Drosophila melanogaster: one gene and its partner. The protein of the gene in region 1 interacts with the protein of each later gene in a pairwise test. Each region holds a gene or a part of one and is shown on either strand. Other genes may lie near its edges.

Region 1 (5,315 bases):
ACTACTTGAACGCGACATGGTGACGAATTTTTAGCACTTTAGATGACGGAAGATGGTTGGAATACGAATAATTTTATGCACTTTTATTATTAACTAGCGTTTATGCGTCGATGCGTTGCTTTGGCTGCAAGTAGAAATAAGAACAGAAGAGAGGAATGGAATCAATAAATGAGACTATAAAAAGCGGCAGGAAAGCTGCTTTTGGCCAAGAGAAGCTTTCTCCGAGCGTTTCTGGAATATTCGTTGAAGTGCAGTGGGTGGCTTAGGGGAAATTGTGGTCAGCACATTCTCATTCTCAGTGGGCAAAATATTGAATATGATATAATATTGTTAGCAGAAGTCATCTCAATATGATATTTTATAATTAGCAATGTTTTTAAGCTATTTTTAAGTGAATATGCTATGGTTTTTTCAACTCTTTTAGATTATTTACAATTTTTAGACATAATAATCATTTTAAAAAATCTCATTTGAAAACAACGGGCATTTTTAATTTTAAGAATTAAAAGTTTTCCTTGAAATAAACCCGAATCTTTGCTGGGATTTTAGCCAACTGAATTGATAAAGCTTTTCCGCTGGCAGTTAAAAAAGCTGCATGCGGCTCAAAGCTGCAGTGGTTTTAGCCGCCTTTGTTGTTGCTGTTGTTGCTGGCGGGCGGCTTAGTGTGTCAGTTTAGTGGGTGGCAACAGTGCGAAGAGAGGGGGTGGCAAAGAGAGAGATATTGGGCCACAGCCGGCAAGGAAAATCTAAGCGCTTTTCCGCACTTTCGTGTGTGTTTTCTGTTTACATTCAATACGGGAGGCCCTAAAATGCCCAAAATTTTCCCTCGGGCAACAAGAGCGAGTGGAAAATTTTTGAGAACCATCATAAACAGCTGTTCGGGAAGCGGGGAAATAGATTTTCCGGTGGTGGTTTTTTTTTACCTAGGATCCAGTCTAATTGGATTTACCTGGACCAATTGGAGTGCGGCGGCACACACAAGTTTGAGCCTGTGCGAAAAATATAAAATCAATGCAGGAACAAGTGTGTGCGAAAATATTTATGACACCCACCCACTCACACGCTCGCACACACACACTTGCAAGCACACGCACACGTGTGACGTGTTTTTTCGTGTTTTCCCCTCGTCTTTTACTTACCACTGTGCTTGGTTTTTCCACGGTCGTTGGGTATTACTTAAAACTTAATTCGATTGATAGTCGTTCTATGCTGAGAAATGTTTCAAGCGCGTCATTTTGATCTATTTTTATAGTGTTTTTTTCGATAGACTTTGATTTTTTGCCTTTGGCTGCCAACTCGCCTGCGCTCCTCACTCTCTTTGGCTCTCTTTTGCACGGCTGTGTGTGTGTGTGTGTGTGTTGGTGCACTCACGCAGTTGCCTTCGTTGCGTAAATTATGCAAAATGCAGGCCAATTGCAATGTGTTTACAAAAACAGAACAAACGATCGCGTTAAGTGTGTTTTTTGCGATTTTACGAGCGCGTTAACTGGTCTCTGCGAAATACGCAAACGGTATGAACGTCAAAATATTGGCAGCAGCGACGAAAACATCTGCAGATGGGCTTACGAAAAATTCACAAACTGAGGCCAGTGTTGGGCAGCGGACGAAGGGCGAAATACCAATTCAAAGGGAGGCAAAATATACCGCAATGGTACTCTAGAAAATTCACGATTGTTTTGGTTTGTCCATAACTTCAACGTTTAAATAAGGTGCACTTAGAAAATTCTAGATGTTCACAATTTGTAAAAAAAATGTACACAAGCCAAAGTTATCTTAGTTTTATGAACAATTTTTCTGTATTCTTAAAATATTGTTTACATGTTAATTAGGATTTAATTACTTTGGTATTAGCTGCGGTATCTTAATACCACTACTTTTCAAACCTTCTGGCAACGCCATTTCGATCAGCTGTTTTCGTGGGACGCGCATGAGAAAATTATTGTTTGCGGCATTTCATGAAAATCGCGAAAAATGGTGACAAAAACGATAAAATCTCTGAATTTAGAGATCAATTTCGTAAGTACCATGAAATATATGTAAATCACAACTAACCTATCAAGTTTTTCACACACAGGAAGTGGAGGATGTGCCGTATGAGGAGGAAATCCTTCGAAACGCCTACTCCGTAAAACATTGGCTGCGCTACATTGATCACAAAGCGAAGGCGCCGAATAATGGTGTTAACATGGTCTATGAGCGTGCTCTGAAAGAGCTTCCTGGCAGCTATAAGATCTGGCACAATTACCTGAGAACTCGCAGGAAGCAGGTGCGCGGCAAGATACCCACGGATCCCATGTACGAGGAGGTCAACAGTGCCTTCGAACGTGCACTGGTGTTTATGCACAAAATGCCACGTATCTGGATGGACTACGGTGCCTTCATGACCTCGCAATGCAAGATTACCCGCACCCGGCACGTTTTCGATCGGGCTCTAAGGGCTCTGCCCATCACGCAGCACGGCAGGATTTGGCCACTGTATTTGCAGTTTGTACGCCGCTTTGAAATGCCGGAAACAGCACTGCGAGTCTACCGTCGATATCTGAAACTCTTTCCCGAGGACACAGAGGAATATGTGGACTACCTACAGGAAGCAGATCGGCTGGACGAAGCTGCCCAGCAGCTGGCGCACATCGTCGACAACGAGCACTTCGTTTCCAAACACGGCAAGTCCAATCATCAGCTGTGGAACGAATTGTGCGACCTCATCTCGAAGAATCCACACAAGGTGCACTCCTTGAACGTGGACGCCATCATTCGCGGTGGGCTGCGTCGCTACACCGATCAGCTGGGCCACCTGTGGAACTCTCTGGCGGATTACTATGTGCGTTCCGGCTTATTTGATCGGGCAAGAGATATATACGAGGAAGCCATTCAAACTGTGACCACCGTAAGAGACTTCACCCAAGTCTTTGATGAATACGCACAGTTCGAGGAACTCTCGCTGAACAGACGTATGGAGCAGGTAGCTGCCAATGAGGCGGCCACCGAGGAGGACGACATTGACGTTGAACTGCGGCTCTCACGCTTCGAATACCTCATGGAGCGCCGTTTGCTGCTGTTGAATAGTGTGCTTCTGCGCCAGAATCCGCACAACGTGCACGAGTGGCACAAGCGGGTGACACTGTACGAGGACAAGCCCGCCGAGATCATCAGTACGTACACCGAGGCCGTGCAAACAGTGCAGCCGAAGCAGGCGGTCGGCAAACTACACACTCTCTGGGTGGAGTTCGCCAAGTTCTACGAGGCCAACGGACAGGTGGAGGATGCTCGTGTGGTCTTCGAACGCGGCACTGAGGTTGAGTATGTTAAAGTAGAGGATCTGGCGGCGGTGTGGTGCGAATGGGCAGAGATGGAGTTACGGCAACAGCAGTTCGAGGCGGCACTCAAGCTGATGCAAAGGGCGACGGCCATGCCAAAGCGAAAGATTGCCTATTATGATGATACGGAAACGGTGCAGGCGCGCCTTCATCGCTCGCTAAAAGTGTGGTCCATGTACGCGGATTTGGAGGAGTCATTCGGCACATTCAAGACGTGCAAAGCCGTCTACGAGCGGATTATTGATCTGAAAATCTGTACGCCACAGATCATTATCAATTACGGAATGTTCCTCGAGGAGCACAACTACTTTGAGGAAGCCTACCGAGCCTATGAGAAGGGCATCTCTCTGTTCAAGTGGCCCAATGTCTACGACATTTGGAACTCTTATCTAACCAAATTTTTGGAGCGCTATGGCGGCACAAAACTGGAGCGAGCCAGAGATCTCTTCGAACAGTGCCTGGATCAGTGTCCTCCCGAGCATGCTAAGTACTTTTATTTACTGTATGCTAAGTTGGAAGAGGAGCACGGTCTCGCCCGGCATGCCATGTCGGTCTATGATCGTGCCACGTCTGCTGTCAAAGAAGATGAGATGTTCGACATGTACAACATATTTATAAAGAAGGCAGCCGAGATCTATGGCCTGCCACGTACCCGCGAGATCTATGAGAAGGCCATCGAATCGCTGCCCGAGCAGAATATGCGCCACATGTGCGTTAAGTTTGCTGAGTTGGAAACGAAGTTGGGCGAAGTGGATCGAGCTAGAGCCATCTATGCTCATTGCTCACAGGTATGATAATATATATAGATTTCTAATGCATCACTTAATCTAATTATTGTTTGCATTCTTCAGGTTTGTGATCCCCGCATCACTGCAGACTTTTGGCAAACTTGGAAGGAGTTCGAAGTGCGTCACGGCAACGAAGACACAATGCGCGAAATGCTGCGCATCAAGCGCTCTGTGCAGGCCACTTACAATACGCAGGTGAACATGATGGCCGCCCAATTCCTGAGCACAAACAACGGAGCGGCTGCGGATGCTGGAGCAGGAGCTGGACCGGATGCCATGCGATTGCTGGAGGAGAAAGCTCGCCAGGCGGCAGCCGAGTCCAAACAGAAGCCCATCGAGAAGGCGGCCTCGAATATTATGTTTGTGCGCGGTGAGACTCAGGGTGGTGCTAAGGATAAAAAGGATACGGTCGTCAATCCTGATGAGATCGACATTGGAGACAGCGACGAGGACGATGAGGAGGAGGACGACGATGAGGAGAACGAGATGACGAACGAGAATCAGGCCAGTGCAGCGGTCACGAAAACCGACGAGGAAGGCCTGGTCATGAAGAAACTGCGCTTCGAACAAAAGGCCATTCCAGCCAAGGTCTTCGGCAGCCTCAAGCCCTCAAATCAAGGCGACTCTGATGGAGAGTAAATGTTTATACATATATATGACTTTTTTCGGGGTAAATACATGTATGTCGAAAGTTTTACAATTGTAATTGATCGGTTTTTATGTTCTGGCCTCAATTAGATTCTTAAATGGTACTTTGATATTAATTGTTGTCAAACGAAGGGGGCCTGTTAGATATTGTCTCCGTTTTGGATGATCTAGTTAGTATAGCCTTAGGCCAAACAGAGGAACACACTTTCAACTGTCATTCCAAAATTGTTAGGCACTTCGTGATCTAAAAAAGCTAACCAGACGTGCGCAAGGGCGGACTAACCAGGACTAACCACACACCGTGTATCTCGAAGATGGCATCCACACGCATGATCAGTGCTTTTACGCGCAATCCAAGATTATATCAACAGGTCACGGCACCCTGGAAATCGTACAATCTGTTTGGAACACCACTTTTTAACCACAGACTTCAGCCAGCGGATTCTCAAATCTGGAGGGGATTAGCAGACAAGTGTGACAACAAGACTGTTATCAAGGGCGTGGTGGTGGGCGTCTACTCCAAGGAGGGCGACGGTAAGGAGGTCAAGATGACGTCCAGCGG
Region 2 (4,566 bases), on another chromosome or scaffold:
TTGAGTAACGGGTATCTGGTAGTCACGAAACTCGACTGTAGCGTTTAAAAAACTCCTGAACTCTCATTCGTTGCTCACTAATTAGAAGACAGAATTTGCCCTTATCAGAGTTGTCAGATAATGCTAACAAGAAATACTATCTTATCTGAAGTGATCGATTGCAAAAAGTTATATGAACTCATTAACCAGCCCCACATCAATAAATATTTATTAAAGGCATTCGTCACCAATTGCATTAATTTCGATTTCTGGGTTTAAAAATATTTAACGTATATTCACTAATTTTGGCTGACAACATGGAGTTACCTTAATAAATTTTCAAGTAGTCTATGTTCAGGTTTCGAATATGAAGTATTAGAAGTCTTTAGCATCACAGAAGCCGGTTGTTAATGTACAATAGATAACGAATCAAACAAAAACGTTTCTTAACGAGTTTGCGCGTATACATAACTTGTTTAATTACAGTTGCGATATCGCAAATTTTTAACGTACAATGCAAAAAATTTCTTGCATTCAAATTTGATGTTAGTTATATTTTCTAATAACGGTTTTGGACAACTATTTTTATAGCTTGTGAAATCTTACTAGAAAAAAAAAAAAAAAAAATACAAAAATCTTATATTTTTAAACGGGGTTTTCTCTATAACTTGGTAAAAAAAAGGTGGCACATCTAACGAAAAAAAACACTGTTTTATACTGCTCATAAGCATACCTAACTATCCCTATCATAATTTTAATGATTTTCAAAAATCAAAATTTGAACAAGTTTTCGGTAATTTTATATTCTTTCCTTTCTAGATTGTGATTTTTGGAGATATTTCAGACGTACAATTATCAATTTATATATTATGCACATATATTTGTATTCATTCTTTGAGAAAGTAATATTCGAAAGAGTGGACACAAATCTTAGAACCAACCCCAAAAACAAACCCTTAAGATAGTTTCCAACAGCTGTTTTGCCAAATATATGGTGACTAGTAGCGAGTGATGAGAGAAACAGGCCATTGATAAATCGAAGTCACACCACTTATATATACAAACTACATATCTTACCTATAATATTTTAGTTTAATAGAAGTTTTTTTTATAATTTTCAAATCACTCTCGCTCTTTATAGAAAGCCGGTACCGGTTTACACCCCCTTTCCGACACAAGCATATAAAAAGAACAGCGAGAGAGAGAGAGAGTGAGCTTTGGTTCTCTCACTTAATTCTGTTGATTGCACAGGTAGAAACAAATAACTTGTATACTGCGATATTTAAATTTATTTGTTTTTGTACTAATTTGTACTATATTCTGGTTAAATATGAAATAGTTAAAAATACTTATTGGGAACTGATATTTTAAATAATATATTTAATAATACTTGGTGTAATTAAATTCAAATTTTTTACTTTTATTGCACTAGACAGCAATAATAGCTTATGTTTCAACTTCGATCATAATCATAAATTTTTTTAATTTACAACTTTCAACATTTTCTTGCCAGTGTACTCTGTTCTCTTCGTTCTCGCTCGTGCTCAGTTTTAGAATTCGCGGCAGTTGTTTTTGTTTGTCCGGCGCGTTCGCTTGCTTCACTTATGCGCTTGTTGAAAATCAAGGAAAGGGCGCGGAAAATAAGTTTAATTAAATATTTCGAGTGGCTCGACTAACACAGCAATTAAGCGAATGTGCAAAACGTGAAAGCAGTTGTGAATAAAACGCACTCATCGCGAAATTAAAAGCTTTTTGGGAGCGTCCTGCGATGGAGAAACGCGTGAGGAAAAATCAATTCGTAAGTAAATGGGCGACGCGAAAAACGGTGATTTAAAAATCAAATGAAATGAAACGCGTGCGGAATTTACCTGAACGGAAAACTAATCGGTCAGCAAAAATTGCGTTTTGTGCCAAAACAGAAAGCGCAATAAATATAATATACAATTGCGCATATGGTGTATGTACATAGAGTGCAAGAAGAACGTGACAAGGAAGAGCAAACGAAGGTGAAGAGTGTGAATAAAACCAAAACAATAAGAACGAACAAGTTTAAGCCACTGTTACGGCAAGTAACGCACGAGAATATACATATGTACATATATTGGTTTCCAACTGGAAACTGAAATTGACTAGAAGGAAGTGGAAGGAAGAATTGCCTGACGGCCTTTCCTTCCAGTCCGGCCACTCACACTACCAAAGCCCCTTGCTGCAGGATGTTAAAATAAAGCTAATGAAGAAAAGAATTGAGAACAGTATAAAAAAAATAGCTAAACTCTTGGGTCCCCATTCCTAAAATATTTGTAAACTCTGATCCTATGCCTAAAAATTATAAAATCAATGCAAAAAGTTTAAATTATAAGGTACAGCATTTATTAAATTTAACGTTCTGTTCCAAGTGTGTTTGAGGCATTTAAGGCGACAACTCTAATATGTTATCTGTTTGAGGGTCGTTGGTCTTGAGTATTTTTAATAACCCGCTAAACACAAAGGAATATGTTGATAACTAGGCGAGAAGTGGCTTCCCAATTCGTGATGTCTTATCCTGGTGGTTGTTGTTGTCTCTGTTAATGTAATGACATTCCCCAAACAGCTGCATTTTGGTTTCTCGCTCTCCGGCTCTCTTCAGTTGTCATTTCCGTTATGCCCTGCCATGCACTCAGCCCTCCCCCTCTATTCCCTTTTGCATCCGGGGGGTGAATTAACTGCAGCCGAAACGCATTTACTTTAATTTATTTGTGGTTCCAGTGGGCGTCACTTTCTCTCCCTCTCATTTTTATCTCGACAGAGAGAGAGAGAGCAGCACATGCTATTGTGCGTGCATTTGTATTTGTATTTCTCGTCTCTGCTCTCTGATTAGCCTTCTCTTGTTATTGTTGCGGGGATAATTCATATGCAGATTGCACCTAGTGATTGCCATTCAAATTCAACTGATAGTGGAAGCTGGAACTTGTACTATAAACATACATATGGTTCTTCCTGCTTCAAGTAAAAAAACAGTAGCCATTTCCATCAGTCATCAAAGTAATGAACTCTCCTTGCAACATATGGGACTGAATAAGAATAGTACTTTATGCTACTTTTAGCATGTTTTCGTTTTCCAGAAGAGAACTACCTAGTAAATGAGTTTTAATAATTATGAATGACTCTAAAAGACTGATCCTTAAAGAGCTCCTTACTTAATGTATTATTACATTATTTTTAAAAATATTCAATACCAAGTCAAATAGTTTTTAATGTATTATTTCTTGTATTGGGTGTATTTGTTCTTAAATGTGTGTTATTTCGTAAAGCCAAAAATCTGAATTTGAATAGACTAACCCAATAACCTTAAACCAGCTGTGCCATGCCCCGCGGGCTATACTATAGAATATTGTTCAATGGCCCCAAAAAGGTGCCATTTCACGTGAGATTCAGGTGAATAGCGCTATACCTATTCATTAATCAGCAATCAATTATCTATCAGCAAAGCCTTTTAATCAATATTTAATTAAGAACTCACATTCCGACTTTTCTTCTTATACATTGCTTTTGTCGATGTCGTTTGAACAACAGAGTAATAGATATTGTTCATTGGGACAGAAAATAATAGTTACTTGAGAACTCTTATAGATAAGCTCTCCGTAAAGTATACAAAATTTTAAGGAATGGAATTCTTTAAGGTTGAACTAATGGCATAATCACTTTTCTCATTCGTTCGTTATATGAATCATATTAATATTTCCATTTTCATTTGCTGTATTGTACTATTACACGATGAACAAAGAAACAGAGTTTTAAAAACGAATGCCATGTTTTTTTTTTGTGCCTGATAACAATTCCGCAGTCCAGTTCCACTTTGATAAACAGCTGCCGACATCATTGTGCCAGTCCTTACTGTATTGTTTATCTGAAAGGGAAGTTACTGAAAGTGAATTGAAATAAAACGAGAATCATAGAGCCAAAACATTAAGTACAGGGTACTTTGCTTATACGGGCTCCAAAAATAAAATACAATAACTGAATTAAAATATTTGCGGGATCGCAGAGCGTGGCTGATTTTATTGACCGCAGATGAAAAGCGGCCAAACAAAACAATTGTACAATTGGTTTGGTTTCTGGTTTTAGTTTGTCTTTCTGGCCCATTCTGTTTTTACATTTTTTTTTTTAAATTACGATGAATGGACTGTCACGCTAGTCTGAGTATAGGGCAGCAAAAAAGCAAAAGGCACTCTATTAACTGAATGACATAATAATAAATTTAGTTTAGCTTAATTTCTATTAACAGGTGCTCCATTACGCGCTCTCGATGAATTAGTTAAGAACTAGATTATTATTATTATTATACATATATAGTGAATAAGAATTTAAGCTACATAAGTTGACTTTTGGGAAAACTTAACTACAATATTAAGCTGGTTTTGAAAAACCCATAAATATAGTTATGCTTATCTATTTGAGTTATGATGAGGTAAACGTTTTATGTCAAGGGTTCTACACACACACATTGAGGGAATTTTTTAAGCTTTACAATGCCACAAAATATTTTTTTTTATTATCTGTGCAAGGTACTACATCTTTGACGAGACAAACTGGTGTTATAATGTTTTA

Evidence for each region. Proteins that work in one complex are often made in the same cells at the same time.
Region 2: the proteins of fand (region 1) and C1GalTA interact in a two-hybrid assay, tested with the Drosophila melanogaster proteins (one large-scale study listed by BioGRID).

What each region holds. Positions count from the first base shown.
Region 1 is NT_033778.4:13,591,755-13,597,069, forward strand, and holds fand (fandango), read left to right. Parts: upstream 1-1,889; 5' UTR 1,890-1,971; coding exon 1,972-2,016; intron 2,017-2,074; coding exon 2,075-4,105; intron 4,106-4,168; coding exon 4,169-4,744; 3' UTR 4,745-4,803; downstream 4,804-5,315. Other genes in the region: CG45088 (uncharacterized protein), read right to left, coding at 1-18; S-Lap5 (Sperm-Leucylaminopeptidase 5), read left to right, coding at 5,068-5,315. UniProt on the Drosophila melanogaster protein: Subunit of the NTC(Nineteen)/Prp19 complex, which is part of the spliceosome. The complex participates in spliceosome assembly, its remodeling and is required for efficient spliceosome activation. Essential for efficient pre-mRNA splicing.
Region 2 is NT_033779.5:8,948,189-8,952,754, reverse strand, and holds the start of C1GalTA (core 1 galactosyltransferase A), read left to right. Parts: upstream 1-1,538; 5' UTR 1,539-1,777; exon of another isoform or gene 1,778-1,985; intron 1,986-4,566. UniProt on the Drosophila melanogaster protein: Glycosyltransferase that generates the core 1 O-glycan Gal-beta1-3GalNAc-alpha1-Ser/Thr (T antigen), which is a precursor for many extended O-glycans in glycoproteins.